2 linked regions of the Coturnix japonica genome follow. The protein of the gene in region 1 interacts with the protein of each later gene in a pairwise test. Links are inferred from orthologs where the notes say so. Each region holds a gene or a part of one and is shown on either strand. Other genes may lie near its edges.

Region 1 (4,232 bases):
CAAAGGGCAGTGAGCCTGAAACATGGGTGTGCAGGTGCTCCCGCAGCCCAGCCCGCGAGTCAAAGCGCTCCCCACAGTAGTGACACAGGTGCACCCTGAGGTTGGCCTTGGCAAGGATGGGGTTTGCTCTGTCTGGGGAAGGAGGGCTACAGCTCTGGGACACCACAGGCTCAGCCTCGCACTTCTCCTGCTTGATGGAGACTGAAAGCTTCGGCAACTCCTCCGCCGGCCTGGCCAGCACTGCGGGCTGGGCTGTGGGGTGTGTGCCGGGCTGCTCGCGGCTGCTGTCGTCCAGGCCGATGGCAAGGGAGAGCTGCAGCTGTGGGTGCTCAGCTGGGGCAGAAGGTCGGCCCCCCGCACTGCCCAGCGTCTCCTTGGCGCCCGGCCGTTCCTTTGCTGCTTTGTGCGCTGTGGAGATCTGGATCCCATAGAGGTTTGAGGACTGCACGGCCTCGGAGGGAAAGGCCTGGTTCATCTCGACAGCGAGGTGGGAAAGGTGGTCGGCGTGCAAGAAGCGGATGCCTTCCTCCAGCCGGCTCTGGCTGACTGCCTGCTTTGGGCCCTTCCCAGTGTACATGATGTGCAGGAGGTAGCTGAAAATGTCCGGCTGGATGTCTGCGGGCTGAATCTTTATGCACTCACTGAAACAAGAAGATGATTAAGCACATCGTTGACTCCAAATTACAGCCCTGACCCATTATCTGCCCATTCATCTGCACCGTCATTGGCTTGCAGAACATAGGCGCTGCCGCCTGGCTGCAGGTCCATGACGGACAGTGCTCCTTGCCAAGGCCTGAAGGAGCATGGCTGCCTTCTGTGCACAGCAGTGCTCAGCGTGTGTTTGTGTATGGATGGGGCTCTGAGCACCTAATGGAGCTGTAGGCGTCCCTGTTCATTGCAGGGGAGTTGGACAAGATGGCTTTTAAGGGTCTCTTCCAACTCAAATGATTCTGTGTATCTGGGTGATCGCAATGACAGTGCACAGAGCTGTGGTGAAGGACTGTGGGCACTGCCAGCCTTCGTCTGCCCCACCTGTGATGGCTCCTGGCCATGTGTGCCACCCTCAGGAGGCACAGAGTGTTTATGCACTCAGGTAATAAATCCAGCTGCTGCTGCCATGTAATCTTTACGAGCTTTGCACCTAAGTGTCAGCAAACAACTCCTATTGCTATTGAAGTTCACTTGTCTCTCACTTCCAAGCAAAGGGAGGATTGGGGCCTGCAGCATTGCCCCTGTGGGAAGGGCTGAGAGCTCTGGGACTGTTCAGCCTGGAGAAGAGAAGACTGAGAGGGGATCTTATCAATGCTTATAAATATCTAAAGGGCAGGAGTCAAGTGGATGGGGCCAGGCTCTTTTTGGTGGTGCCCAGTGACAGGACAAGGGGCAACGCTCACAAACTGTTAGTTCCATTTGAACATGAGGAACAGGCTGCCCAGAGAGGCGATGCAGTCACCTTCTCTGCAGATATTCAAAGCCTTCCCGGATGCCTTCCTCTTCAACCTACTGTCAAGAACTGCTTTAGCAGGGGGCTGGGCTGGGGGATCTCCAGAGTTCCCTTCCAACCCTGTGATGACTTCCCTGTGGTGGTGCTGGAGGCCAGGAGCTCACTGCCATGGGCAGCAGGGGGAACACAGAAGGGCTTAATCCATCGCTGCAGTTCAGAGGCGAGGTTAGGGCTCAGAGCCAACTTCCCTATACCTGCAGAACTGCCCTGGGTACGGTCAGGTGAAGCATCCAGATAGGAGACTGGAATAAGTGGATGCTCACAGTCCTGGCCCTTATCTGCAGACACTGAAGTGCAGCAAAAAGATAAGGCCATGGCTCCATGACTGCCTCGAGCCCACAGATCCTGTCAGGAGAGATCCAGCTGAGCCAGAAAACTGCCTGAGCCCCATGGGATCGGCTTTGTCCTGGAGCAGTTCCTGAGGCCATGGCAGCGCCGGTGCTGGGCAGGCTGTGCAGGAACTGAGATGCAGGCCAGGTTAGGAAAACATCTCAGGCCACATAACATCCCCACTTGTGCTCTTTGAGATTGCAACTCCTTTAGAAAGAGGAAAAAGCAGCAAGCCGAGGAGAGCAGTAAGGAGATAGAGAGAGAGCTGCGCATCCTTACCTTGTCTGATGGATAAATATCATCTTAAAATAGTTTGAGAAAGCAGCGAGCACCGCTCTGTGGGCTTTGAAGTAAACATCTCCAATGGCAACTGTGCAGTCGCACAGGAAGCCGAACTCCCGCTGCATGTTCAGCTGCTGGAGCAGGAGCAGGCTGTGGCCGGCCATGTCCATGGCACGTCTGGGAGGAGGACAGAAGGTTTGTCCCAGCACAAAGTCCCGTCAAGCACAGAGCACAGCCCCAGAGCCTCCTCCCCAGCTTCAATGATTCCCCCCTGTGACCCCCGCTCAGATCTGCTCCCTGCTCCAACGCACAACGAAACCACAGCACCAAGTGCCGCGCAGGTGCCAACTTTAACAACGTGTCCGAGCGCCGCCGCTCAGCGCAAACCGCACCCGGAGCGGGGAAGCGCACAGAGGGCAGCGTGTGCCGCCCCACAAAGCCCTCGCTGTGCAGCGCCGAGCCGCCCCGCACCCAACGGCCCCTTCTGCAAATACACGCTATTGTTTCCAACCCCCCCCAAATATCACAGCCGGGGCACGAGGGCCGGGAGGAGCCGCTCCCCGCACCCCGCGCCCCGCACCGCTTACCCCCGCGGAAGCGCTGCCCCGACCCTGCGCGGCTCCGCCCGCTCCCTGCGAGGCGGATGGGGTGGGCGCAGCTCCCCCCGCGCTTCCTGCCGCCGGGCTGGGCTGTGCCGAGCTGTTCCGTGCCGTGCAGGGTGGCCCACGCGCGGAAAAACTGAGAGAGGCGGTTGCGCGGGGGTTGCGCGGTTGCTGCGCGGCGAGGCGCTGAGCCTCCGTCTATGCGGCGAGGGCGCAAACACCGCGCAGAACTTCAGCCCCTCGCCCCGCGTGATGGAGGGGCCGCTACCCCTGGTTGATGTGGTGCCCAAGGGATTGAGTTTCGTATCTTTAATACCGAAAATGGCAGTGGGAATCACCGCTGCTGTGCTTTCTCCACGTGGGTTTCATGCAGCTTCACCCCTCCGTGGTGTCTGTCGTGTTTTGCAGATCATATTTTGTTTTCCCTGAGCCTTTGATGTTTCGCTGCTCGTTGGAATGGTGATTTTTAATTGGGCCAAATCTGAAGCCTTTAGGGCAAACGCTGCCCCAATAGCAGCAGACACGGGACTGCTTCCAGAGGTGCCTGCAGGAGGGTGAATGCTCCATGCAGCGCTCACTGCTCATCCCACTGTGCCCACAAACATTCCTTTTTCCAGCATTCCCTGCCTTATTTCTCCTATTTACACACAAAGCTCCCTGCGCTCGGGGCCATCTTCCCACATAGTAGCGGGGCTGCAGTTTAATGGTGCTCCAATCCCACTGCCCCTATCAGTACCATACTACTGTCATACTTGCAGTACCACTTGCTACTGTTCTTCCCCCAAAGGCCGGCAATAGGAGCTCAAGGTTCCGTGCTCCGCTCCTGTGTTATGTGACATATTTATTAACCCAGGTACCGAGTGAGGGGCTGTTTGCAGACAGCAGGTTATTTATTTAAACGATTAATTATTTACATGTTATCTAGGTTGACCCTGGCCCAAAGATGGCTTTGAAAAGCTCCAGAGAAACCAGAGCCAAAACGATGGGAGCAGTGATGAGGAATGAGATTTTACTATAAGAGCAGTCAATGGTTTCACAGGGCTTCAGGGGTACAAAGTGCTACAGCCCACAGCGGGATGTTGTCATAGCTATTGTGATGTCATCACGGCTATTGTGATGTCACCATAGCTATTGTGATGTCATCATGGCTATTGTGATGTCACCATAGCTATTGTGATGCCATCATAGTTATTGTGATGTCATCATAGCTATTGTGATGTCATCATAGCTATTGTGATGTCATAACTGCTGTGATGGCGTCATCGTGGCTATCAGAACAGGGGTGAATGTCAATGAAGTGGCTGTTAGGGAGGGTTGTTTCTATGTACACGTGCACTTGGTTGCTACATTTGTAGCTTGTGGTGTTTTCAAATCTGTAATCAAATCTTCTGCTGCCATCGCCCACCTGGAGCTGAGCAGCCTTGGACAGCATCACCTTCTGGGCTCATTGCAACAGTAATGATTTGATAGTTCCTTGGGTACCAACACAGAAGTGATGGCACCTCTGGAAACGG
Region 2 (3,500 bases), on another chromosome or scaffold:
CTTTCTTTCTTCTTTCTTTTTCAGGGACGGATAGCATGTGCCAATGTCTTAAGTGACCTTTATGCCATGGGGGTCACAGAATGTGACAACATGTTGATGCTCCTCGGAGTCAGCAATAAAATGACAGACAGGGTAAGATTTGGGGTACTTGCTTCTGAAGTAAGGTCCCAAACAACTATACGTACTCTATACATACTTAGAACATATGCAGCTTTAGTGTATTTTCTCCTCAAATTTTGAGTCTTTTTAAAGAAGAGATGGCTCAGTCAGTTCCTCAGTTCATAGTGCAAGTCTTGCCTCATAAACTCTGTGAGATTATTCACTAAATCTTCAGTCTTCTGTGGCATCATAATTTGCTTCTGTTTTGTGATCCCCACAAAAATGGAGTCTCTGCTCCTGTTTACTGTGCTTTGAAGCAGGATTTGATTAGCAATTGATGTATTAATTCGGATAGATACTTTTGGTTTCCTCATGCCAGCTTTGTTGCATCTCTTTGAAGCAGAGGAAATTGAACTAGGTTCTTTTTTCTTAATTATTTTTTTTTCTTTTTGATGGAATTTACCAGCACGTATGATTGTTTTCTCTAGCAAAAAAAAGGTTTGTTCATTCTTAAAAGAAACTTAGTTGAAATGGTACAGGTTTAGTGGAGGCCGAACTCAGCTTGATTTAACTTTGCCTTATTGCACTGTGCTTCTGGCTGTACTTGATTACAATAGCAGAATAGTTGTTCTGAGTTTGCAGAACTCTCTGAATTTTCTACTTTTATATGTGACCTTTCGGAGAATGTTTCTTCAGCATTTTACAAGGAACTGTAAAGCCATAGCTTTATGGGATAACGTGGTTTCTGCAGGCTGACTGTCATTAGCTTTTTGCCATGAGGGAATTTGACTTGAGTGATTAAAGCCATAACCCTGTCTTGAAATGACTAGCACTGCTGTGGATGGAACTCTGACTTCTGTTTTGATCTCTAGGAAAGAGACAAAGTGATACCTCTAATAATCCAGGGTTTCAAAGACGCAGCAGAAGAGGCAGGAACATCAGTTACTGGTGGTCAAACAGTGTTAAATCCCTGGATTGTTTTAGGAGGAGTGGCCACAACAGTCTGTCAGCCTAATGAATTTATAATGTAAGTTAAATCACTCGACAATCAAAGGCATTGGTCTGACGGGATACAGTAAAAGTCCTTTAAATACCGTGTTGTGATCTGTCTTCTGATGAGTAAAGCAGTGCCTTCTCCTGTTTGCATTTGTCCTTAGCACAGAGCAGTTGCCACATCTCTTCTGTCCATTCTTTGCTTTTTAAAACAGCATGTGCTTTTACTTTTCTCCTGATATCTTTTGCTCTTCTCCTTTAGACAGGACAGTTAAGCTTCTAACCTTTACACGTTTTCAAGATAGTTGTGGGATACAAATTTCTGTCAGAGTTTAAAATGCAATACCTCCCAATTAACCTGCTAATTGCTGTAGAGAAATGGAGAATTGCTGTGTTTACTCATTCTGGCTGATTAACTGTAGCTGATCTTGAATGTTCCACTGTGGCATGCCACACTGTATGAAGGAATTTGTGATCCTAGTGATGCTTATTTTATATCCTGAGTAAGCAAAATAGTTTGGGTGGTTTTGTTTCTCTCCATTATTCTATTCTATATCTTCAGTAGATTGAAAGAAAGGGTGCAATTTTCTGTTTGTCTGATTGCAAATGTTGTTCTATTCCAAGAAAGGATTCGTACTTTTAAGTAAGTTTACAGCGCTTTTGCTCAGTGATACCCCTTGGCAATGAATCCCAAAGGGTAATTCAGCTATTAGTCTTTTTTTAATCTGCACAATAAGATACATGGGTCTGTGAAAATCTAATTATCAGCACTTATTCCTAATAACATGTGACTCTCGCTCTGTAATTAATATATGAATTCTTTGCTTTCAGGCCAGACAATGCAGTGCCAGGAGATGTGCTTGTATTAACTAAACCCTTGGGAACACAAGTGGCTGTAGCCGTCCACCAGTGGCTGGATATTGTGAGTACACTGCCAAAACCAAAATTAAGGGAAAGAGGCAGGAGGTAAAGGTGACCTTCCCCATTCCCTCAAAACCTCAGAAGGAAAAGCTGCAGCGTATACTCTTCACACTGAAAAGTATATTGAGTGCTCAGCCAGGAATCGTATAGAAATTAATTCCTCTTCTTCCTCCTTGTTATGTCAGCCTTATCTTCTTACGTGCAAAACTCTTTTGGAACCGAGACAGCTTAGCGTTTTGTGTTTAGTGATCTTAATTGGGTCTAATTCTTAGCTAGTTCTCTGGCATTGCTGTAACAAACAGAGTCAGTGACTAACAGTACAACAGATTAGCACCCTGGGTAAAATTATGCCCTATTCCACATGCCAAAGTAGTTGGCAAAAGCTGATTGATGTCAGTTAGGCCAAGACTGCTGTCTGGGTTCATAGACTTTCTGCTTCTGTACGTGGAAATATCTCCACCTTTCACATGTATTATCCTGTGCATTCAGTAGGAGTAATACTAGCTGCGTTATGTATGCAGACATATTTCCATCTGTTACTTCAGGCAAAAATGTAACTATTGAACTGAAATGTGACTGCAAAATTGGCATCTGCTTATGTTGTCTGGCTCCCAGTGTATGTCTTCCGAATTATAGCTGCTCAGTTTATGTTTTTAAAAGATGCATCTTTTCTGCTTTTGGGACTGCTGAGCCAATAGACAGGCAGAGGAGTGAGCTGAAATCAGTTTAGCCTGAATTTTAATTCCAAAGCCTGTGTGAGCAAAAGTGGGAGAGAACCAGCTTCACCCTTCGCTGGAATCTGAAGTGTGAGCAACCAGATAAATAATGTTTCCCCTAAAATACACAGGGTGCGGCCCTGACTTCTTGGCCTCTGCAAAATCCTACATTTTCCAGTCAGACACAAGCATCAAGGCCTCAGATAATCTTGATAGGAAAATCAAATGAAGCAAGACACATGTTTTATAGCCTGTTTTCTGGCCATAATCTCACTCCTTTACATATCTGTTATTTTACTGACAAACAGACTTGCAAATTAACAATACTCTGAATTTCCACATATTTCAAGTACTTGTAATTTCCTTGACTGTCAACCAGAAGCACTTTCTGGTCTGAAAAATGGGGACAGAAGGAAATCAATTCTCTTATTACAGTAAACAGCATATATCTTTGTTGTAGTGAAAAATTTCTGAGTATCGTTGCTGCCCTTTCTTTGGCTTTGTCTTGTGAAAGAGTAAAGAAAATAAAACTAGACTTACCCATCTCAAACTCACCTGTAAATCAAGCTTCAGAACGGAATTTGACTTCGTATTGAAAAGTATGTTAGAGAGGGTACGTAGTACTGCAAGCTTATGCCCAGGCCAAGAAGGGAAAATAACGTTTGGAGATAGAATCACAGAATTGTAGCGGTTGGAAGGGACCTCTAGAGATCATCGAGTCCAACCCCCCTGCCAAAACAGGCTCCCTACACCATGTCACACAGGTAGGTG

What was found.
Region 2: the proteins of ZBTB25 (region 1) and SEPHS1 interact in binary tests that used the Homo sapiens proteins (3 or more experiments, as listed by UniProt). The two-hybrid records come from large-scale screens. The link is inferred for Coturnix japonica from reciprocal best matches to the Homo sapiens genes ZBTB25 and SEPHS1.

The regions. Positions count from the first base shown.
Region 1 is NC_029520.1:48,118,073-48,122,304, reverse strand, and holds the start of ZBTB25 (zinc finger and BTB domain-containing protein 25), read right to left. Parts: upstream 2,801-4,232; 5' UTR 2,704-2,800; intron 2,294-2,703; 5' UTR 2,287-2,293; coding exon 2,114-2,286; intron 642-2,113; coding exon 1-641. UniProt on the Homo sapiens protein: May be involved in transcriptional regulation.
Region 2 is NC_029516.1:6,032,899-6,036,398, reverse strand, and holds part of SEPHS1 (selenide, water dikinase 1), read left to right. Parts: intron 1-24; coding exon 25-132; intron 133-971; coding exon 972-1,126; intron 1,127-1,923; coding exon 1,924-2,014; intron 2,015-3,500. UniProt on the Homo sapiens protein: Synthesizes selenophosphate from selenide and ATP.